Canis lupus familiaris: one gene and its partners. The protein of the gene in region 1 interacts with the protein of each later gene in a pairwise test. Links are inferred from orthologs where the notes say so. Each region holds a gene or a part of one and is shown on either strand. Other genes may lie near its edges.

The links. The genes of interacting proteins can lie anywhere in the genome.
Region 2: the proteins of GOPC (region 1) and HCK interact in binary tests that used the Homo sapiens proteins (3 or more experiments, as listed by UniProt). The two-hybrid records come from large-scale screens. The link is inferred for Canis lupus familiaris from reciprocal best matches to the Homo sapiens genes GOPC and HCK.
Region 3: the proteins of GOPC (region 1) and RNF183 interact in binary tests that used the Homo sapiens proteins (3 or more experiments, as listed by UniProt). The two-hybrid records come from large-scale screens. The link is inferred for Canis lupus familiaris from reciprocal best matches to the Homo sapiens genes GOPC and RNF183.

Annotation. Positions count from the first base shown.
Region 1 is NC_049222.1:58,357,815-58,365,283, reverse strand, and holds part of GOPC (Golgi-associated PDZ and coiled-coil motif-containing protein), read left to right. Parts: intron 1-599; exon of another isoform or gene 600-637; coding exon 638-802; exon of another isoform or gene 803-914; coding exon of another isoform or gene 915-967; intron 968-2,282; coding exon 2,283-2,306; intron 2,307-5,155; coding exon 5,156-5,331; intron 5,332-6,502; coding exon 6,503-6,668; intron 6,669-7,469. Other genes in the region: DCBLD1 (discoidin, CUB and LCCL domain-containing protein 1), read right to left, coding at 915-967.
Region 2 is NC_049245.1:21,971,215-21,979,340, forward strand, and holds the start of HCK (tyrosine-protein kinase HCK), read left to right. Parts: upstream 1-3,164; 5' UTR 3,165-3,450; intron 3,451-8,126. UniProt on the Homo sapiens protein: Non-receptor tyrosine-protein kinase found in hematopoietic cells that transmits signals from cell surface receptors and plays an important role in the regulation of innate immune responses, including neutrophil, monocyte, macrophage and mast cell functions, phagocytosis, cell survival and proliferation, cell adhesion and migration.
Region 3 is NC_049232.1:68,074,571-68,082,534, reverse strand, and holds the start of RNF183 (E3 ubiquitin-protein ligase RNF183), read left to right. Parts: upstream 1-3,002; 5' UTR 3,003-3,375; intron 3,376-4,631; exon of another isoform or gene 4,632-4,762; intron 4,763-7,315; 5' UTR 7,316-7,358; coding exon 7,359-7,393; intron 7,394-7,964. UniProt on the Homo sapiens protein: Acts as an E3 ubiquitin ligase catalyzing the covalent attachment of ubiquitin moieties onto substrate proteins. Triggers apoptosis in response to prolonged ER stress by mediating the polyubiquitination and subsequent proteasomal degradation of BCL2L1.

The sequences.
Region 1 (7,469 bases):
ATATTTAGGCCCATTATGACCTTAGTGGCTCCCACCTTTGCACCTAAAATAATTACTAGATAGTGGGTTGGTTGATAGAGGTTAGTGTTCTCTGGGGTGGCCACTTACTGGCCTCTCCTTTAATGTACCATTAATGTTAATGGACCACTGTAGCACATGTTATCTCTAAGGATGATGAGCCATCCCAATCTTTATATTTTCCTAAACTTTGTAGGTAAAGGTAAAACAATGAAAAGCCCTCTTCAAGTAAGCAAAGTAAAATGGAAGTAGCATTCTGTGTTATTAGAAGATATTGTTTTATGGAGGTGCTTAGCTGGCTCAGTCGGAAAAGCATGCGACTCTTGGTCTTAGGGTTTTGAGTATGAGCCCCACATTGGGTGTAGAGATTATAAATAAACATTTTTTTTTTAAAGATATGGTTTATGGAAGAGTTGGTTCTCTTGCCACTCAAGTATCTTACCTGTGCTATTGGATTTATGACTGTATAGTTGGATGTCTTAAGAGTTGTCAATTCATCTATTCAGGCTGGTGTTCATCTATTCATTTTAAACACAGTCTGTGTCATCTTTGAATAATTACTAGAGTCAAAATAAAGAAAATTAAGCTTACTTGATGTTTTTTATTGTTGCTTTATAAGGCACAGTTGGTGGATCTGAAATCTGAACTGACAGAGACACAGGCAGAGAAAGTTGTGTTGGAGAAAGAAGTCCACGATCAGCTTTTACAGCTGCACTCTATCCAGCTTCAGCTCCATGCTAAAACTGGTCAGAGTGTTGACTCTGGTACCATTAAGGCAAAACTGGTAAGTAGTTTAGAAGGTAACATATACTTACATGTATTTTAGAGGATGAAGAGGACAGTTTTTAATGAGGCTTTTGAATATAGAAGGTAATATGTGCTTAAGTGTGGGAAATTTAGAAAACGCAGGAAATGTAAAGGTCTTCATGATCATCCACAGTCTCAGCACCTAGAGGTGAGAAGTGACAATATCAATAAGCAGTTGATACTTAGAATAGGATTTTTTTCCTATTTGAAAATATCTGTGTAAAAATATTTAAAAGATATTTGTAATTATAACGTGTAAACAGTTTTTTGCCCTGTTGGGTGAGTTAGGATTAAGTTCATCTGCATATAACAAGTCCAGAGAACACTGGGAATATTCTTGAATAGTACAAATTATTTTCTTTCAAGCCCTGAAATAGGCAGCACAGAGCTTATGTGATGGCTCTATAGATACTAAGTATCCAATATGCTTTTTGTTGTTGTGTTCGCCATTTTTAGCTCATGGTTTCCATCCTTAGGATCTCTTTATTCTAGGCAGAAAGAAGGAAGAATCTAAGAAAAGGGCAAAAGGATGCTTCCAGGCTGCATTAGTGTTCTAAAGAATTTTTCATGAAATCCTCCTCAACAATTTTTGCCCGTCAAGTTAGCCATCTCATTGGCTATCCCAACTTGCATTTCAGCCTCTTAGTTGGTCACGTGGCCACCTCTTGTGAAACTGGAGTTGAAAATGGAATTGGGTGCCAACCACTGGCATATTTTTTCCTATTGCTCTTATGAGCATTTTTTTCTGCCATTGAACATTTTGTAATGTTTGTATAATATAAATGTATTATATATACATTTTCCATAAGTAACCTTTGCCCTCTTAATATAAGTAGAAAAATTTTTTAAGTCTCATTTCAGCTTAATCTCGTACTTGTTAAGTGTGCAAGTATGTGCCAGACACTTGGTTGACCATAGGGGACACAGCAGTAAGATAGATATAGCTTGGGAGAGGCAGGAAATGAAATGAGGATGATGATAGTCATACATTTTTAAATTTTACTTGTTAGAATTTATTTAAATGAATATTTCCATTCTCCTTAAATCTTTTAAATTCAGAAATTCTATGAATCTAAGTTAGTAACCTTGTTCTCTTTAACTGAAATGAGTCAGATTTCTCACTGCTTTTTTGGGATATTTGATGTTTACGTTGAGAAACAGTGTATACATTTTCACTAGAAAAGAGTTTACTTGAAGTTTTAATGTTAGATCTGAAGCAGGGTGCTGTAGTAGAAGGCACTGAACCAGGTGAGCTGACTAATTTGGTAAAACAAAAAGTTTTAATCTAACACTGTGTAGTTACTGTAGGTTATGGATTTGCAAATATATTTGTTCTAATGAACTTTACCCAAATGATATTCAACGTATGGGAGTTTTCCTTATAATGATTATACCACTAGATAAATTCATTTGTTTGATATTTTTCTAATTATCAAACTTTTTTCTTATATCTTAAGTCTGTCCCCTCTGTGGAGGAGCTGGTAAGTATGTTGTTTCTGTTTGGCTTTAATACGTTACGCTGAAGTGTTCTTATTGTCTTATTTGCATATTATATGTTGTCACTTTGTATTTGGATGTGATGTTCATGATGATAGTTTTTTAATCTTCCAGTACCTGAAAAGTTCAGTTGGTGGCCCATTGCTCTTTTCTCAGTACACGTTGTGAAAGATTTTTCTTTTGTTTGTGATTTATAACCATTATTTACAGAGCCCATCCATTTTTGACAACTTTTAAGCCTTGTAACTTGTTGAAACCTCTACTTCAAAAGAGCAATTGGTTTTCCCACTTGAGTATTTTGAAGATATATTAAGAACACCTAGCTTTTTTCTCTTTTTCTATTTGAACTTATCCCCAGAGAAAGAATGTGCATGTTGGTTTCGTATTCATCTTCTGCATGTGTCACAACTTTTTAGCAGTCTTGGAATAATTGTGTGGCCTTTGAAACAACTGAATTTTGAAACTTTTTGCCAGAACTTATTTTAGAAAATAACAATGTATAAATTCTTAATATTTTCCTCACTATGCTAACCTAATCAGGTTCCAGTTTGTCTGATGGCTTTATTTCTTTTGAAAATACACTGTTTGGCTCTCTAAATACAAAATGAGCTTCTTGCTTATTACCTAATAAATGGGCTAACTAAAGATTCATATTTTTTTTCTTTAAAAACTAAAAAGATTAACTTCAGTTTTCTTAGTCCTATTCATGTTTGCGAATGTTATTTTCAGGCCTGACAGTTTGTCAGAATCATTAGGTGTTTGAATCATGAAAGCAAAGTGGTGACTTAATATGTGTTTTGTAAATTCCATAAATACTGTATAAATAGGTTATCAGGGCAATTGTACATAGACAAATATCAATGTAAAGTTTATTTAGCCCATAAACCAAAGAATACTTGGTCTTCTGGAACTTTTTTTCTGAAACAAATAGCATTAACTTCAGTAAATGTCATAAGAAAGCTTATTGTTCATGTTATCTAAACTGTGGAGTTTTTTTGGAACTGATTCTTGCCTTTCAAGAAATATGCTCTGAAATAAATTGCAATTTTAATAATTCTAAAGTTGTAAAAGGAGGATTCTAGATTATTCTTCAGATTCTTGAAAAACAGTAATCAAAGAGGCAGTAAATATATCTACCATTTGGTAATGACTCATTTTAGCTTGTATATTATTTTTTTGTGTTTAAGACTGTGGTACTCACTGCCTTATATTTGAATATGTCATATATTGATGTTTTAGTGTATCATTTATTGATATACTATTGAGAAAACAGTAGACCAAAGCAGACATTAGATTAGTACCAAAGTATATTCCAGAATTGTTAGAGGTTTGTTTGAATTTGTTTCTCAGCTTACTACCCAGAATAAAAAGGGAAATAATTACAATAATCAGTACCCATACAAATAGAAACAGTATCATTTGTCGTTTGCTCAAGAGAAGCATTTTTTTCTGGTGCTGAGCAAGACCTTTATTTAAGTCTCACAAAGGGGACAGGGTGAACAGTTTCTTCCACATCTCATCAACAGATACAACCACATTTACACAGGATTTATAGATTCTGTTTATCAGTAAATCGGTAAAAGCAGTTCTATAAGGCAGTAAAAACATTTCTACTCAGAATAAATGGAAGTTTACAGTGTTTTGTTAATCCAAAAACAACACTTAAAATATCTATCAGGGCCCTTATTCAACTCTTGGAAGAGTTTTATTTGGCCACAGAGCTTTTGTGTATTTGAGTTTGACTGCCTTTAGGCAGGGATTTTGTACCTTCCATTTTCCACTCGACTTTGTCTTGTATTGGTCTGTTTTGTGCTTGGGTCCCTGAAGGCATTTACATTGGTCACCCCTGAGTTGTAGGAGTAGACATATTGTACTTTATACTTTTAAGGTAAATTGAACATTATTTCTCATATGTAAGCTTGTGATAAAAATTGGATGGCAAAGATCTTGAGGTTTTATACTCTAGCTAACACCTGTAATTCACATATATAGACTCTCTACCAAGTAGAGCATTCTTTTATGAGAATTAAAAATGGATGTCCATCCTACCTCCTAGAAGGCAGGTAGGGAGGGCCCTGTTTTCCTCCACAAACATTTATTTTACTTCATTCACTTTGACATAGGGATAGATGAATCACATCCCCAAAATCAGTGATAATCTGTACCATAGATATGGTCATGCAGAGAAATTTTTTAATGTATAAATTTTTCAGTACGTTTGTTACCAGCATTTTTCCATTACCATCAAACATTCTTTAAAAAAAAATTAGAGTATCTGTTCTAATTTAAGCAGTTTAAGTTTCTGGTAGTCCTCTAAGGTAAATTAACCATGGAATCTATGTAAGTGAAGAATTTTGACTTGTTTATAGAATTATTGCTTTAAAGTTAATTAAGTGTTTGGATACAGCCACCAGAGTGATTTTTTTTTTATTTTAGTCTAGTTTCTTGAGTCATTTTTAGAAAATAAATAGGGAGAAGATTCAGTTATTCATTGCAACCACTCCTATTAGTGTATGATGACATAAGCTTAGAAAATACTAATTATTTTAGTATCCTCAGTGTCAGAGTACCCCAAGGCATGAAATTATCTTATGTGGAAGTGGTCCCAACACCTTCTGGTACTAGTTAAAAAGAACTGGATCCAAATCTTTGTATGCTCCATTTTATAGAAATGGTAACTTTTATCATATGCTTTCATTGTTGGTATTGTAACAGACTGTGCGCTTTTATGTATTTTGAGAAACATGGTATGTTGCTAAAAAGCCTTAAAAAAGTATTTTCATTACATTGTGCGTGGGTTTTGTTTTTGTTTTTGTTTTTGTGTTTTAAATAGGAGAGAGAGCTGGAAGCAAACAAAAAAGAAAAAATGAAAGAAGCTCAACTTGAAGCTGAAGTGAAGTTGTTGAGAAAAGAGAATGAAGCCCTTCGTAGACATATAGCTGTTCTCCAGGCTGAAGTTTATGGGGCAAGACTGGCTGCCAAGTACTTGGATAAGGAACTGGCAGGAAGGTGTGTAAAAAATGAGTGCCTTGTATTCTTAAGTAGCTAGATATTTAGTGAGGTTGACTCTTACCTCTTATGGTAAATGAAACATTAATCTTTATCTTAAGAGTTATTTTATAGGGCAGCCAGGGTGGCTCAGCGGTTTAGCACCGCCTTCAGCCCAAGGCGTGATCCTGGAGACCCAGGATCGAGTTCCTGCGTCAGCCTTCCTTCATGGAGCTTGCTTCTCCCTCTGCCTGTGTCTCTGGCTCACTCTCTCTCTCTGTCTTACTGTTAATATTGATAGCATTATATATTGTAGATTTATTTAGCCATACTACATAAGTATTTCTGGTTTACACATACACAAACACACACACTGATAGGAACTTACTCTGACATGCTAGTAACTCTAGATCTGCACCTTTCAGCCACTTCCTGCCTTGAAACCATAAAAGATGATGTTCACATGTATAGCCTTTCTTAAGGAATTCTTTCTGTGATCATTGAAATGTAATCTTTCTTGACTCTCCAAAACACTTTGGAATGACAGTGACTTTATCATAATAATATGGTGCTCTCCTTGTATTAATTTTTTATAATCACAAAATTTGGTGATTTATTACTTTTGATAAATATTTTTTTACTTATTCACAGCACATTAAGAACTGATGTGAAGCAAATAAAAATAATTTATATCATGTTGAAGTGCACATTTTCTAGTAACTTTTGCCATATTTAAAACAGTAATTTTTAAAAAGAAACTGTCTTTTAAAAAAATGTTTTTGTACTGTTAGGTTCCTGTAAAGACTAATATTCAATAGTGCCTGAGTTTGTTGACCTATCCTGATTGTGTGCAAGACATGTTCATTGACATCAGTCTCAAAAATTTTTTAGATGTATTTGAATTAAGTATATGGTTAGAAAAGGTTTCATTCATTCTTTTTTTTAAAAAAAAAACTAGTTTTCTCTTGAAGATATCTGTTCTTTTCAGACTTTTGGTATGTTACAAATCTGAGAAACATCAGGAGGTCCTAAATGTATTAATTACTAACAGGTTTTATTACTAACAGAAATAGGTTTTCTGTTGAGGTTTATGCAAAAGCTACTGGTATCCAGTAATTCTTCGGAGTTCTCTCTGTAATAAAAATTATAATAATGAAAAACTAACTGAATTAACTGTTTTCTCAATATAAAGGGTCCAACAAATACAATTACTAGGGCGAGATATGAAGGGACCCGCTCACGATAAGCTTTGGAACCAGTTGGAAGCTGAAATACATTTGCATCGTCACAAAACTGTGATCAGAGCCTGTAGAGGACGAAATGACCTGAAACGACCAATGCAAGCCCCTCCAGGCCACGTATGTTTGTTTTGTTACTGTTTCATACTCAACCTCTTCCTTCTTCCTTTAGTCAGAAGTCCTTTTCATGGTTTTTATTTAGTAGTATTTAAAACCATTATTTTAAAAGTTAAAGTGGAATTAAACTTATTTAGAACAGATACATGAAGTTCTTAGTTGACTTACCTGAATGCCCTGAAACGATATTTCTGAAAACTGAACTGTTGCTAGCAGATACATATTGCTCGTACTTTGACTCATATTTCAGAATTTTTCTGGATCATATTTAGGCATGTTTAAATTCATTTTTTAAGCTTATCAGAGAACATGTCATGTTAATAAAGTGGCAAGTGTTTTGAGGGTAGTTCTTAAGGGAATTTTTGGTAACTAGATTCAGCTGTAGTTTCTGAACTAATGTTTCCACCTGTTTGGTCTTGAATTAAGATGGAATTTGAAAAAAAAAAAAAAAAATGGAGTTTGAGGTCCGTGTCCAATTGTCTGCTTCTGTAGCCATCATTGTACAAGAGCTTTTCTATCTGGATAAATCTTTATTAAATTTCATTACTACAGCTGTCTGATAATATAAGCCTTTCCATAATAAAAGCATGTCTGACTCCTTCCCAGTGGCTTACATATCTTATTGCCAGATAAACTATGGTCTTAAACAAGTTCAAGTATTTGTTATCTCTGCAAAGATTATTTTAAGAAGAATTGATATGTACATGAAATTGATGGGAGAAGAGCGCAGATTGCAAATAAGCCCTTTTGCCATTGTTTTCTCTGGGACTTTGAGGCACATTAAATTCTAGGAAGTGGCCAGAT
Region 2 (8,126 bases), on another chromosome or scaffold:
AATAATAATACCAAATTATCAAATTATTGGTATTATATAGTGATATATATTATAGATATTATGTATATTATATAGTGTTATTGATATTGTGTATAGTGATACATCTATACTATGAAATACTATTCTGCAGTGAAAGGGAACAAAATACTGCAACATGTAACATGGAAAATCTCAAAAGCAATATGTAAGTGAAAGGAGACAGACATGAAAGAAACACACTGTGTAATTGTATTTATATAAAATTATAAAAAAAACAAAGCCAATTTATAATGACAAAAAGCCAAACACTGGTTATCTAAGGCAATGGAGCAGGGAGAAATTGACTGCAATAGGGTATAAGGGAATTCTTTGGAGTGCTAGAAATGTTCTATATCTTTTTTTTTTAATTTTATTTATTTATTCATGAGAGACAGAGAGAGAGAGAGAGAGGCAGAGGGAGAAGCAGGCTCCATGCAGGGAGCCCGACGTGGGACTCGATCCCAGGTCTCCAGGATCACGCCCTGGGCTGAAGGCAGCACCAAACCGCTGAGCCACCTGGGCTGCCCGAAATGTTCTATATCTTGATTAGGGTGGGGTTACACAGGTGTATCCCTTTACCAAAACTCATCAAGCTGAATATTTTAATAGTGCATTTTATGTATAAAGCTGTGCCTCAGTAAAGTTGATAGGAGCTTTGGAAACACATGCACAGACTTTTATTGCAGCATTACTTCAATAGCAAAAAAAAGGGAGATGGAATTGGCTGTTAACAGGAGAATGTTTCAACTGTGGTCCTTTGCCATCAGAATGACAAACTTGTGGAAGAAGGTGTAGCCGATGCTAATGATGACCCTTTCGAGTCTCCAGGCATGTATCTCTCTTCCTGGAGGCTCTCTCTTGTGATTGGAGCATTCATGGAGCAGGCTAGGAGTGCTGAAGGATTAGTACCTCCTGGGATCATCCCTCATCCAACTCTGCCAGGAGTTGGTACATAAACGCCCCAGCTCTTTCAATTTCCAGGAAGGATAACAATGAGTTGGGAATAATACACTGTCTCCGGAGTTCCCTCTCCAGCAGGAGTGAATTCCAGGAGCCCACAGTTATAACTTGGTTGACAATGCTCTCTTTATTCCCTGTCTTGTCTTATCCACCTACTCCCCTACCAGTGTTTTCTGCATCTCCCAAATAACCACTTTCACTTGAATCCATGTCTAGGGTCTGCTTCTGGGGAACTCAAATTAAAGACTAATGGATGAGGGGTGCCTGGGTGACTCAATCAGTTGTGCATCTGCCTTTGGCTCAGGTCATGATTCTAGGGTCCTAGGATCAAGTCCCACGTTGGGCTCTCTGCTCAGCTAGGAGTCTGTTTCTTCCTCTCCCTCTGCCCCTCCTCCATCTCTTGCTTTCTCTCTCTCAAGTAAATAAATAAAATCCTTTTTTTTTTTTAAAAAAAAAAAGGACTAATGGATGGTACCAAGAGTCAATCATGATGTGGGGAAATGTGGAAGGGGCTTGTAGGGATGGGGTAACTGGGTGATGGACATTAAGGAGAGCATGTGATATAATGAGCACTGGGTATTATATAAGACCAATCACTGAACTCTACCTCTGAAACTAACACACTATACGTTAATTAATTGAATTTAAATTTTCTTAAATGTGGGGAAATGTTAGGAGAATTTTGGCAGCAGCCATTCTGCAAGCATTCATCATTCTTGGCAAAGCAAGTCTTTACAAAATCCTTACACAGGTCTTTAGGGCAAAGTTGCACGCCATCTAGGTGTCCATAGCTATAGGAATTGACAAACTGTGGAGGGTGTAGACGATGACCTAGCAGGAATGCTGGTCATCATCCTCCCATGCCCAGGACAGTCCCCCCACCCCATAACAAAGAATTATGCAGCCCAAATGTCAACAGTACTGGAGTTGAGAAACCCTGTGTAGCCCAGCACTCAGCACAGTATTGCTGAATGAATGAATGAATGAATGAGTGAATGAAGAGATGACGGTGGCCTGAAATGGCTGGTAACAGAGGGAATACAGAAAAGCTGTAAAATTCTTACACATCTTGTGTGCTTGGCAGACTTTAGTGCGACAAAGCTCTTTTTCCAGAAGCAGTTGTGCTCTGCCCTTGCCTGGTGCTGGGCACATCTCATTCATGTGGGGCCTCCAGGTGCCCTCCAGCTGGGCATCCTGCCTCCTCAGTTTTCAAAGTCCTCTGAGCTTCCCAGCTGCCGGAAACCGCCAAGAATGAGCCAGGGTGGTGCCTGCGGGTGAGAAACTTTGCTTGCCGTTTGAATAGCGCGGGGCCTGTGGAGCGGAAACCGCTGACCACAGAAGGACCAGGAAGGCCTGGGACACGGTGTGGGGGAGGGGCCTGGGCTCCAAGAGTGGATTGGAGTGTAGAGAAAACCGATCAGAATGCTTGGGGCGGGGGATTAGAATCCTGCGAGAGTGCCGAGGTAAAGGTTTAGGATCCTTGTGGGTCACGTTAGAATCCTTTGATGAGGGGTTAAAGTCCTTGAGGGTAGGGTTGGAATTTTTGGATGGATCGGATTGGAATCCGAGGGGGGATTAAAATCCTTTGGAAACAAGATTGGGATTATTCGGGAGCAGGATTAGAATCCCTGGGGTTAGGGTTATGAATTTGGAGGGCTGGGTCAGAATCCTTTGAAGAGAAGGGATAAAATCCTTCCGTTGGCCGGATTAGAATCCTTGGGGGACAGGATTAGAAATCTCCTGTGGGTGAGGCTAAAAAATCCTTCAAATGTGAAATTCAAAATCATTTGGGGGCAAAACGAGGATCTTGGCAGGAGACGGTGTTGCGGTTCTTGGGAGGACGAGTTTAATCCCTTTGGCGACCACATTAAGGTTTGGGGAGGCGGGGATTATAATGCATTAGGTTAAGTGCTTGGAAGAGGGCGTGGGGTTAGGATCTTTGGGGGACGGATTAAAATTCTTAGGGGCAGGTTTATTATCCTTCCGGGCCAGGGTTAGGATCCTTAGGGGCAGGGTTGGAAGCCTCTGATGGGCGGCGTTTAAAAAAAAAAAAAAAAATCCTTGAGCGGTGGGATTAGGGTGCTGGGAGGAAGGGCCTGGGATGAGAGTCCACGCTGTGGGGTCAGAGTCTTCAGGGGCGGGGTTAGGATACACGGGGGTGGGGTTAGCATCGCTCAGGGCGCGGCTAAGGAGCCCAGATGGCCTGTGGGTGCCACCGAGTCCCCGGTCCCAGCCCGAGCGCACCGCTGAGGCCGAGGCGAGCAGGAGGGGGCGCCGGGGGTTCAGCGCCAGGGGAGCCCGAGAAGCCGCGCGGCGCCCAAGCCCCTCAGAGGCCGCCCTTTGCCTTTTCTCCAAAGTCAGCCCGTCTCCCTTCGGGTGCGGGCGCCCCGGGAGTCCGGGGGCTGCTGAGCTGGGGGGGCGTTCGAGCTGCGAAGATCCGGGCTGCCCGCAGGAGGAGGAGCGGGCGCCCAGGTGAGTGGCGCGCGGACGGCGGAAGCGGGAGGGTCTCCGCGGCGGGGGACGGTGGGGGGAGCCCAGCGGGGGGGCAGGGCCGGCTGGAGGGCGGCAGGAAGGGGCGGTCCGGGAGCGGTGGACGCGCGGAGGGACCGGGGGCCCGCGACGAGGGCCGGGCTGGCCGGGCTGCGTGCGAGCCTGGAGGAGCCCTAGGGGAGAGGAGCCCCGGCCCCCGACGGACTTGGGTCCAGCCTCCGCTCCTCTGAGCCGTCCAGGTTCCCCTTCTGCAAAAGAAAAAAACGAGAAGGAAGGGATGAGGCTCTACCGACCGAGAAGGGAAGGCCCTTACGGCCCCTGGTGGGGGTGGGTGACGGGTCACGGCAGGTTGGCGGCGGGTTGGCAGCCCGTGGTGGGGAGGGGGACAGCTGGCCGGAGGCGTGCGGTGCGAACCACACCCAGGCGGGCCTGCAGCTGGGCCCACTCTGCGCTCCCTCCTCCTCCCGCGCTGGGCCCTGATCCCCAGCAGGTCTGGGTCAAACCTCAAAACCTCCTGGACAGACCACAGGGTGTCTCCCCGCCTCCTTTCCGCTTCGGTGAGACCTTGGGCCGAGTCGTGCTCCCTTTCCGAATTCCAGTTTTCTCCTCCGTCAGATAGGGCTAGATTCTTTCTCCAAGGCTACAGTGAGCTGGAGTCTGTGGGGGTCATGCAAGGGGAAGTGGGATTCTGGGAGCAACCTGCCTGTTGACCTTTAGCAAGGGATTTGGTCTTCCTAGGCCTCTGCTTTTCCACCTATAGGATAGGGATATTAATAATAATGACTCCCTCCCAGGGTCGTTTTGAAGGTTAGGTTAAGTTATTCATGGAAAGCTCTTGGAGCGTTAGGTCACAGGTATAGGTGCTTAGTACTCGTGAACTATTGTCGCTATTACCGTCTAGCCAGTGCTTCCCAAATGTTAGCAGTACACCTGGGAGGCTTGTTAAAACACAGATTTCTGGGCCCTGACCCCAGAGTTTCTGATTCAGTAGGTCTGGCTGGGGAATCTGAGAATTTACATTCCCAGGTGATGCTGCTGTTGCTGGTCCAGGGACCACACTTTGAGAACCATTGCTGTAGCCTTTGGCCAGCACAGAGAAAGACTTCAATAGATATTGGTTCCTTTATCCCATGGATTTCTCTTCACTATCCTTTTTTTTTTTTGGGGGGGGGGGGAGGATATTAAAATAAAGAAAAGTGAAAGAAATAATATAGTAAATATCCCATGAACCCACCACCCAGAATTAAATGTTTCCCTCTGGCTTTTTAAAAAATAAAAGTCTTAAAAGTAACAGATAATACTGAAGCCTCTCCACTTGTCTCTCTCAGTCCTGTTTTTCTCTCTGCCCAGAGGCAACCAGTCATGAAATATAGTCCTTTCCAGTCTGTGCCTTTATGAATTTATTACATAGATATGGATGCATAAATAATACATAGAATTGTTTTTCTGTGTTTTAAAGATCTCCAAAAACGCTATCCAGCTGTGAGATTCTTCTGCAATATCGTTTTTCTATTCCTTGCCTTATCATTAAGTTGTCAAGGTCTAGCCAGGATGAGAAACAAAGGCATGCATAGTTCATTCTTTCTCAGGGCAGTATTTCTGCAAGTGACCATCCTATCTTATTTCTCATCCCCCAGTTGTTGGACATTCAGATGTGTAGCAAGGCTTTTACTACAATAAACTATTCTGCTGGGACCATCCTGGATGTATGGCCCTGGTGAAGGTGGGAGGGTGCAGGTGTTTCTTGGGAAAACACTGAGGGCTGGATGGGTCTCCAGAGGGGGCATCTGTGAACCTCTCTTGTGTGCAAGGAGGACTGAGACCTGAAAGGGTCACCCAGGTAGTCTGGATCAGAGACGACAGAGAGTCTGGCTCTGCTGACCTCCCAGGCCTCCTGTTCCAGGTCTGTTTTCCACTGCAGGAGAGCAAAGATCTTCATTTGCCTGACACTTGGTAAAAACTCAAACAATGGAAGAATGACTCCTTTTTAAAGTTTTTTGGGGCAGCCCAGGGTGGCTCAGTGGTTTAGCGCTGCCTTCAGCCCGGGCCGTGATCCTGGAGACCTGGGATCGGGTCCCATGTCAGGCTCCCTGCATGGAGCCTGCTTCTCCCTCTGCCTGTGTCTCTGCCTCTCTCTCTCTCTCTCTCTCTCTGTGTGTGTGTCTCATGAATAAATAAATAAAATCTTTTTAAAAAAGTTTTTTGGATAACAGATATTTTAGTTTACTTTTGTGTAGTCTTCTTTTCTGTGTGCTTTTTATTTAACGTAATCAGTAAACTGCTGTGGTATACAATTTTCATCCTACTTCTTTGCTTAGCCCTATATTATAAACATTTATCTATGTCATTAAAATCTCCTAGGATTTTTTTAATTGTCAATTTATTTTTTAAGTTTATTTATGTATTTAAGTAATCTTTACACCCAACGTGGGGCTCGAACTCATGACCCTGAGATCAAGAGCTGCATGATCCTCCAACTGAGCCAGCCAGGTGCCCCAAAATATCCTTGGACATTTTTTTTAAGATTTTATTTATTTATTTATTCATGAGACACACAGAGAGAGAGCCAGAGACATAGGCAGAGGGAGAAGCAGACTCCATGCAGGGAGCCCAATGTTGGACTTGATCCCAGGTCTCCAGGATTACACCCTGAGCTGCAGGCACACGCTCAACCGCTGAGCCACTCAGGTGTCCCTATCCTTGGATATTCTTAATGGCTACATATTATTCCACTGTTTGGATGCACTATAATTTAACCATCCTAGGAAAGCACTTTTATGTAGTTTTCAATTTGTAAATTTTTTTGAGTTGAAATTGGCATAGCATTATAAATGTAGCCATCTTAATTCAGTGGCATTTAGTACATTCACAGAGTTGCGCAACCACCACCTCTGTATGGTCCTCAAATAGTTTCATCTCGAAGCACTGATCCCATTAAAGCAATCACTCCCATTCCAGCCCAAAGTTCACCCGAGTTATAGCATGTATTGGTATTTCAGTTCTTTTTATGGCTGGATAATATTTCATTGTATGTATATACCACAATTTGCTTATGTATTCATCTGTAGATGGAAATTTGGGTTGTTTCCACCTTCTGGCTATTATGAATAGTGCCACTGTAAGCATGTGCCTACAGGTATTTGTTTGAGAACCTGTTTTCAATTTCTTAGGTATATACCTAGAAATGGAATCACTGAGTCGTACAGGAATTCTATGTTTAACTTTTTGAGGAATTGCCAGATTGTTTTGCACCATTTTACATTCCCATTAGCCATGTAGAAGGATTCCAATTTCTCCACATCTTTCCCAACGCTTGTTTTCCTTTTTTAAAAAATTACTATCATTATAGTAATCTAGTGGGTATGGGAAGCATGGACCTTTATCTCACCCCCATCAGGCTGCTCGCTGGGGGCCCTTACCCCTGAGAGTGAGGAGAAAATTGTCTGCAGCCAGATCTTGCACTTTAAACTCTTCTAGAAAGTAAGGGCAAAGACGTGTCAGTCTCCTAAACCACTGTATCATTAACACATAGTAGGTGCCTGGCACTACTAGTAGGGCCTCAGAGAATCAGGCTCTCTGCAGGAGCCTATGTCTCTGCCTCTCTGTGTGTCTCTCGTGAATAAATAAAATCTTTAAAAAAAAAAAGAGAGAGAAATCCAGATTGGTGGGGGTTCTTTTGATATTGAAAGTTGGCAACTAATTAAAAAGAATCACAACACGGAGCCAACTGAAATATACCTGTGTGTTGAAGTATCTCAGGCAAGGGAGATACTTCCTACATTCCTACATTCCAAGTTTCTCTGAGGCTCATACGACTGAGCCATCCAGGCACCCTGGATTTCTGTCTTTCAAAAAACCGAGTTGGCAATAGTGAGACTAGAGACTCTGTCTCTCATCCTCTCTGCTATTACTCATGGCAGCACTGGTTAAGCCACGTAGGGCTTACCCTGCTCACTATCCCTGAGCTGTCGGTTTGCACCACCCTCCCTTGGATCACTTTCCTCATGTGGGTGTCCCTATAGGCCCCTATAGCCATTTGACTTTTCAAGTCTTTCCCCCCAATTTTGCCTCCCTTTTTATAAAAAAGGAATATCAGGTCCAGAGAGGTGAGTAGCTTTCCCGAAGTTACACAGCATGTTAGTGGTACAATCTCTCTTAGCCTCCATCTTTCTAAACAACCCCTACTGTACTTTGATCCCCACCTCATTTTTCCAGTTTCCTCCATCCCAGGGCTGGGAGTTTTAGTGTACCTCCAGGGACACGGGTAATGATGCAGAAGAAACCCTTGCTCCAATATAAGATGTGCCCTTGTTCTTGGCTGGTGCTGATGGCCACACATGCTGCACCCTATGCATGTTGCTGCAATGCTCCAGATGGCAATGCATCGGGGCCTGCATTCCTAATACTACCCTGAGACACCCACTGAAGTTCACAATGTCACCCTGAAATCCTTTGGCCTGGGAGACTTAGGTGCAGCCAAGTGCATAGGAGACCTTCCCAAACCTCTGCCAGAGCCCAGGAGCCCAGGAGACCAGCGTCTGAGTGCCCACATTGCCTCAAAGGAGCTGTAATTCGTTTGGGAAATCCCCTCACTCTCTGAATCTCAGATTCCTTATCTGAAAAATGGAAATAAGGATACTACCCCCCAAGTCATGTAG
Region 3 (7,964 bases), on another chromosome or scaffold:
GCCGCACTTCATCAGTCCAGAAGCTCTCTGAACCCCATCCTTTTCAGTTTTTTTTTTTTTTTTTTCCTTTTCAGTTTTTATGGAGGCCTCACTACAGCACAATTGATTAGATTATGGCCATTGGTGATTGAATTCAATCTCTAGCCCCTCTTTCCTCCCGGGGGAGGCATTCTTCGGGCTGGATTGAAAGTTCCAACCCTGTCATCAAAGGCTGGTTGGCCTGGCAACGAGCCCCCCTCCTTAAGGTCCCTTGGGGGCTTTCCAAAAGTTGCCACATTCACATAACAAAAGACACCTTGGTTGTTCTTGTCCCCTAGGAAACCCCAAAGGTTTTAGGAGCTCGGTGCCTGGAATAGAATGAAGACCAAATAGATATTTCTTGTTATAAATCTCATCATCACATATATCTTTTGGGTCCTTCTGGGGAACTATATTATTAGGTCAAGGTGTATGAACTTCTACATGGTGTGCATGAGTGCTGCCAAACTAGAAAGCGTAGCTTCCAAACTCTCAAATACAAACCAGATCCTTTGTGCTGAATCACTGTCTTGAAGGTCCACTAACCTTAGTTAACCAGCAGCGACACTGAAAAGCAGAGAATCCCAGAGCTGACAGGGACTCTCCGGCCGTCCCTCTGTCTCTAGCTCAGAAAGAGGAGAGTTGCTTCAAGAGATCTCCCTCAGGGACGCAAGTCCACAGCATCGTTTTCACACAATTCTAGAATGATCTAAATCCTGCAATCATTTTGACATTTATTCTTCCGACTAATATTTTTTTTTTAAGATTTTATGTGTTTATTCATGAGAGACAGAGAGAGAGAGAGAGAGAGAGAGAAGCAGAGGGAGAAGCAGGCTCCACGCAGGGAGCCCAACGTGGGACTCGATCCCGGGTCTCCAGGATCAGGCCCTGGACCAAAGGTGGCGCTAAACCGCTGAGCCACCCAGGCTGCCCCCCCCCCCCCCCGACTAATATTTCTATATTGAAAATGAAAGGATAAGATCAATAGGGGAACGGTTAAGTACTATATGGCTCATTCAATGAAATAGGATACAACCATTCCAAAACTGAAAAAACTCTGTGTACTAGCACAGAATGGTTTCTCAGGTACCCTGTTCAGTGAAAAAAGCAAGGTGCACAACACTGTATACCACGTGTACATTTGTGTAAAGAGGAGGAAAAGAAACACACATTTTGCCATAGGAGTTCTGTTTGTGTAGCCATATAACCTTTTTGAAAAAATACATAAGAAGCTGACAGTACAATACCTTAATTTTCAGGGAAATGAGGTGGCTGGGAGAACATTTTCATTGCAAAATCAAACCATTCACTGAATGTATTATCTATGCTTCTTTCTTTCTTTCTTTCTTTCTTTCTTTCTTTCTTTCTTTCTTTCTTTCTTTCTTTCTTTCTTTCTTTCAGATTTTATTTACTCATGAGAGACAGAGAGAGAGAGGCAGAGACACAGGCAGAGGGAGAAGCAGGCTCCATGCAGGGAGCCTGACGTGGGACTTGATCCCTGGACCCCGGGGTCACACCCTGAGCCCAAGGCAGATGCTCAACCGCTGAGCCACCCAGGTGTCCCAAAAGTAAAATCTTTTAAAAAAATAAAATAATTTTAAAACCAGAAAATGACGGGACTAGGGCAATTGATCATACCTCCAAATCCATTTATTTAACTTGTTTATTCTCCAAACCCCATTTAAAAGGTCAGTGAAGGAATAAAAGAAGAGGGTCCTGAGTACAGAGAATGTGAGAGGGAACCGGAGATGGGCTGCGTGGACACATTTTGGGGAGAGGGTCCAGGCAGTGGCCCAATTTCAGAGTCAGACTTGCACTCGCAGCTATTAAGTGGTTCTCATGAGAACCTGGGCAAATAAATCCCTTACTTGCTTTGAGCTTCGGATTCCTTATCCACGGGAGAGCAGGGAAAAGACCCTGACTTTCAGGATTTCATATTGTGGTAGGCACGGTGCTTCCTGGGATTGCTGGGAGCACTCACTCTTACAGATCAGAAGCACACAGAAAACTGCCACCATTACTTTTAATAATAGTGCTGAGTCCTCCCCCGCCCCCATCAGACTGACAGATATTAAAATAAGTGTCTTTATTTATTTAGAGAAGACACGTGTGCCAGTGGGAGAGGGGCAGAGGTAGAGAGAATCCTATAAGCAGGCTCCACACAGCGTGCCCTCCAATGCACTCCTGCTGATGCAGGCTCCATCCTACAACCCTGAGATCACCACCTGAGCCAAAATCAAGAGTTGGAGGGGACTCAGTGGTTGAGGGTCTGCCTTCAGCTCAGGGCATGATCATGGGATCATGCCCTGAGCTGGGACATGGGGATCGAGTCCCGCATCGGGCTCTGTAGGGAGCCTGCTTCTCCCTCTGCCTGTGTCTCTGCCTCTCTCTCTTTCTGTGTCTCTCATGAATAGATAAATAAAACCTTTAAAAAAAAATCAAGAGTTGGATACCCAACTGACTGAGCCACCCAGGCGCCCCTAAAATAAATGTCTTTAAAAATCAGGGTCTTATTTAAATTCGAGTTTCTCTCATTGTAAACGAGGTTGAGCAATTACGTGAATATTTGGTAACTTGCCTGATCATATGATGATAACAGTTTTATTAACATTGGCTGCATGCTACCATGTACCAGGCACTGTGCCGTGATCCCTACAAGTGCTATTTCATTTAATCTGTAGATCAAGATAAAATCATGATGCCAGTTTTCAAGGGAGGGAACCAAAGCTTAGAGAAGTCAATTTGCTCATCTCCATTACTAGGGAGTAGAGTCTGGATTCTGAGCAAGGACTTGACTCTGACCCCAATGACCCACTTGACTGACCCAGGCTCTTCATGCTTGTGCTTAAAGAACTCTCCCCTGATTGTTTTTCTGTTGGATGATTTGCCTTTTTCGGAATATTTTGCAAGAGCTCTCTATATTTTGGTGGTGGGGGCTCACGGTAGGGAGGGGCTGTCTGGGCTGAGGGCAGGAAGTGGCTTCAGAGATGCCCTGCCTTCCATCAGAGTAAGGCTGGCTGTGAGCCTAGGCGGTGCAGTCAGACATGGCAAGAAACCAACCCAATACAGAACCGAGGTCTGCAAGGATGAGGGACTTTGACCCCCTTAGAGAAAAAGCAAGAGTGACTCACAGGAGGAAGAGAAAAACCAAAGTTCCCGGGCTGTCCCCCATGAGCATAGACAGTCCAAAGTCATCAGAAGGAAGAGGGAAACAGAGCTGGCCGGGAGCTGCCACAACACCCATGCAAATGAGACCCGCCCACAGCTGCCTGGAAACCAGGCCCAAAAGAAGTGAGAGCGCAGAGCACATGCTGCAGGGCCACCTTGGGGACTGGACGAGGAGACTCTGAGAAGCAGGTGAGGAGCCACAGGGGGTCATGGAGGGACGGGTGGGACTCACTGGAGTCCTGAGAGGCACTGCTGTCGGCCAACATGAATACTGGCCTGGGAGGCAGGGCTCCTGGGAGCAGCTTTCCAGCCCAGTCGTTCTCTAGCTGTGAAGCCCTAAGCAAAGCCACTTCACATTCTGAACCGTGGTGTCCCCATCTATAAAATGGGTGTGCATCTATCATGCTGTGTACCAAGCACCTGCTGTGCTTTGCTGGGCTCCTTACAGATATTAACACTTCCTCACAGCAAGCCTTTAAGGTGGGATTATTTGCCTATTTTTCTTTTTTTTTTTTTTTAAGATTTATTTATTTATTTATTCATGATAGACAGAGAGAGAGAGGCAGAGACACAGGAGGAGGGAGAAGCAGGCTCCATGCCGGGAGCCCGATGCGGGACTCGATCCCAGGACTCCAGGATCGTGCCCTGGGCCAAAGGCAGGCGCTAAACCGCTGAGCCACCCAGGGATCCCTATTTGCCTATTTTTCAAAGAAAAATGAAGCTCAGAGAGCATAAACCATTTCTCTAAGACCACAGAGCAGATAAAAGTCTGGTTCCAAAGCCCACTTCCCACTCCCTATCCTGCTTCCTTTACAGGGTGGTTTCAAAGAATCAAATGGCTTTGGGGCACCTGACTGGCTCAGTTGGTAAAGCATGTGACTCTTGATCTCGGGGTTGTGCGTTCAAGCCCCACACTGGGCGTGCAGATTACTTAAAAAATAACAACAACATAAATTAAATACATAAATAATTGGGGAAAAACCCCTTCCAAACCAAATGGCCTTATGCAGATGGAAAAATAATTGTAAAAGGCAATCATAAAATGTAGATGTGAGTTGCCTCACTTAGATCCTACCCAGGACCAGGGCCCTTTTTTGTAAACTGTGAGGTCCTGTAAAAATGCTAGCTCTTGGGGCACCTGGGAGGCTCAGTCAGTTGAGCCACGGACTCGTGGTTTCAGCTCAGGTCACGATCTTAGGGTCATGTGATCGAGCCCTGCGATGGACTCCATGCTCAGCGGGGAGTCTGCTTGGGACTCTCTCTTTCTCTCCCTCTGCCCCTCCTCCCTGCTCTCTCTCTTTCTTTCTCTAATAAATAAATCTTTTAAAAAAATGCTAGTTCCTCATCTCTCTCCTCTTGAGGGTAAAAACTTTGAGGGGATGCTACAAACAATATTTGGGTGACTTGCTCACAGACCCAAGTGATCCCTTTGGGGTGGTGTCTAGGACGTACTGTTGCTGAGATGGCTTCGGGGGTGACTGGTGGGAGGATACATGGCCAGAGTCCCTCCGGCGGACGCTGGACTCTGACTTGCTGCTCCTGAAACAGCAGTGGACGTCTGAGGGGACCCTGGCAGGTAAGGGCCCAGGTGCTGAGGCAAAACAGTGATTATTCCTCCTCTTGAATGGCCTTTTCCAGCCTTGGCCATGGAACTTCAGAAAATGTAGGTCTGCTTTTGGGGAAAGGGAGATGTTTAAGGGTAGTAATACGAGTTTACTGTAATATTGTAAAGTTAGAATTTTCAGATAAGAGAATTTAAACCAACCAACCAAAGCCCACCTGTTCTCTATGCCCAGAGATAACCACTGTGGACATTTTGATGTTTGTTTTTCCAGGCATGTTTCCATTGCACACATATACTGGATAATTGAATAATATTATGCTACGGTTTTATTACTGGTTCTTTTTGCTTAATGACATATCACAAACATATTTCCACATTAATAGATATTTTATCACATCATTTATTAAAAAGATTTATTTACTGGGGAGAGAGGGAAAGGGAGGGCCGATGGGAGAAGGAGAGAGACTCTCCAGCAGATTCCACACTGAGCATGGAGCCCTACGTGGGGCTCGATCTCACAACCCTGAGATCATGACCTGAGCCAAAACCAAGAGTTGGGTGCTCAGCTAACCGTGCCACCCGGACACCCCTTATCACATCATTTTAAAGGCTGCAGAATGTCTCTTTATGTATCTGGAGCAGAATATCTTTAGTTCATGTCTCACTCTTGAATGAGTATGTACTTTTCCAGACTTGTCCATTAGAGACGTGCTTCTACGAGCGTCCCTACAATCAAGCCTTTGCACAGGTCCTTGGTTATTACCATGGGACAGATTTCCAGTGGGGAAACTGCTGGATCAAGGTTATTACCTTTCAAGGCTTTTAGTGAAGTACTAAAAGGTCTGCTTCAGACACTCTCTGGAATTCGGAGCTCCTCAGAACTGAACGCAGAAACCTCTTTCATGACTTCAAAGCCAACCTTGATCCTTCCTCTCTCTCAAATCCATTTGCAGGGATACCGGCAACCACTTCATATATGATCTTTGCCGGGTGCCAGGCTCCACGAGCTTTACCCTCAGACAGACTACTTTTCCTTTTCAGAAGACCTTGAGGCACAGGTTAAGCAACTTAACTGGGATCCTGCCCCCAATAGAAGCAGCACATCTGGGGGCATGAGCCTCAACATGGCTTTTTGGGAAGTGCGTTTGACTTAATCTCCAGAGATGGTTTTTATTCCATCCCTTTGATCTGCTCTGCCATAGCCTGGTCTAAGTCAAGCACCACCAGCCCAGCCTGAATGATCAAGTCCCTAATGGTCTTTTGTTTCCACTCTGTTCTTTTTAGTCTGTTCTCTGCTCTGAAGCTGGAATGGTGTTTTGATTTTATTATTATTAAATATTTTATTTTTAAGTAATCTCTACACCCAACAGGGGGCCCAAACCCACAACCCAGAGATCAAGAGCCATGCACTCTACCGACTGATCCAGCCAGGCACCCCTGGAAAGGTGTTTTTTTTGTTTTTAAAGAATTTATTTATTTATTCATGAGAGACACACAGAGAGAGGCAGAGACACAGGCAGAGGGAGAAGCACGCTCTCCATGGGGAGCCCGATGTGGGACAAGATCCCAGGACCCTTGGATCATGCCCTGAGCCAAAGGCAGATGCTCAACCGCTGAGCTACCCAGGTACCCCTAGAATGGTGTTTTTAAAATGGAAAGAAAAAAAAAAATGGAAAGAAGAAGGCACCTGGGTGGCTCAATCGGTTGAGCATCTGTCTTTGGCTCAGGTCATGATCCCAGGGTCCTGGGACCGAGTCCCATGTCGGGCTCCAGGCTCAGCGTGGACTCTGCTTCTCCCTTTGCCCCTCCCCCTGTGGTGCTTGCACTCTCTCTCTCTGAAATAAACAAAAAAATTGTTTAAAAAAATTAAAAACACAATGGAAAGAGGATGAGGCCCTGTCCCCCACCCCATACTCACCCCTTGAATTAAATCCAGCTGTGATCCCGGCTCCCAGGGCTGGCCTCTCCCAGGCTGGCTCTTCCCTGAGCCACTTTCCTGCTCCTGCTCCTCCCACTACACCTCAGGCTTCTTTCACTTCCTGCATCTGGCAGAGCCTTTTTTTCACCTTGGGGCTTTGGTACATGCTGTTCCCTTGGCCGGGAATGTCCTTCCTCCACGCTGCGTGGCTGGTTCCTTGTCGTCCTACAGACTCAGCTTTCAGACCACCTGTCTGCCGCAACCTTGCCTGCTGGTTTCCTATGGAGCCCGTTCCCTAAGTCCATGTCCCTCTCTGCCCTTTATAGCATGTGCATTAGATTTTTTTTTTTTTTTTTGTGATAGTCACAGAGAGAGAGAGAGAGAATGAGGCAGAGACACAGGCAGAGGGAGAAGCAGGCTCCATGCACCGGGAGCCCGACATGGGATTCGATCCCGGGTCTCCAGGATCGCGCCCTGGGCCAAAGGCAGGCGCCAAACCGCTGCGCCACCCAGGGATCCCTGCATTAGATTATATATTTATCGCCCACTGCTCATTAGAGGTCTTTTCCCCTCATTGTACTCTAAATGTCATGAGGTCAAAGCCATGCCTCTCTGGGTCACCATTATTTACCTGGTGCCTCGCACAGCTCCTGACACGCAGTGGGTACTCGACAACTTACTAATTGTGGGATGGATGCATGGTCCACAGAAGAAGGCCTTCGTAGGTAAGGATCCTCAGCAGACTCCCAGCTCAGGCCAGAGGAGTTCCCTCCTCCTTTTGCCTACCTTCCTTTCCTCTTCCCTACGTGAGCAGTGACAGGAGTCTAGGAGAAAACCAGGAAGCCGTGGCCATGAGAGCATAAGCAGGTTTTGCATCTGGTTTCAACTCAGTCAGTGCCATATGAGGGGCACGAGTAAGCCTTGGTTCCCCCAAGCCCTGGGATTCCTGAGAGAGAGAGAGAGAGAGACAGAGAGAGAGAGACTCATGGTGGGGACTCTCCCGAGGGGATGCAGACACTTCCCATGTAGTTCATGACACACCTGAGCAGGCAATACCACTGCCTGGCTGGGGCACCTTGGCTGAGTCACTTCTTGCCTCCCATCTGCAAAGTGAGTGGTTAGGATGGAGAAGTGGTTTTTAAGCTTTTTTTTTTTTCCCCTCAGCAGCTCAACTCTTCAAGTTAGGTGATCGATAGGAGAAAAGCTAGATATTTCTGGTTGAAATGGGGAAGTGGGCCTGGAGCTCTCCTCCTGCCTGACTCCCCCTTTTAAGGCCCCAAGGGTGGTGAGATGGCC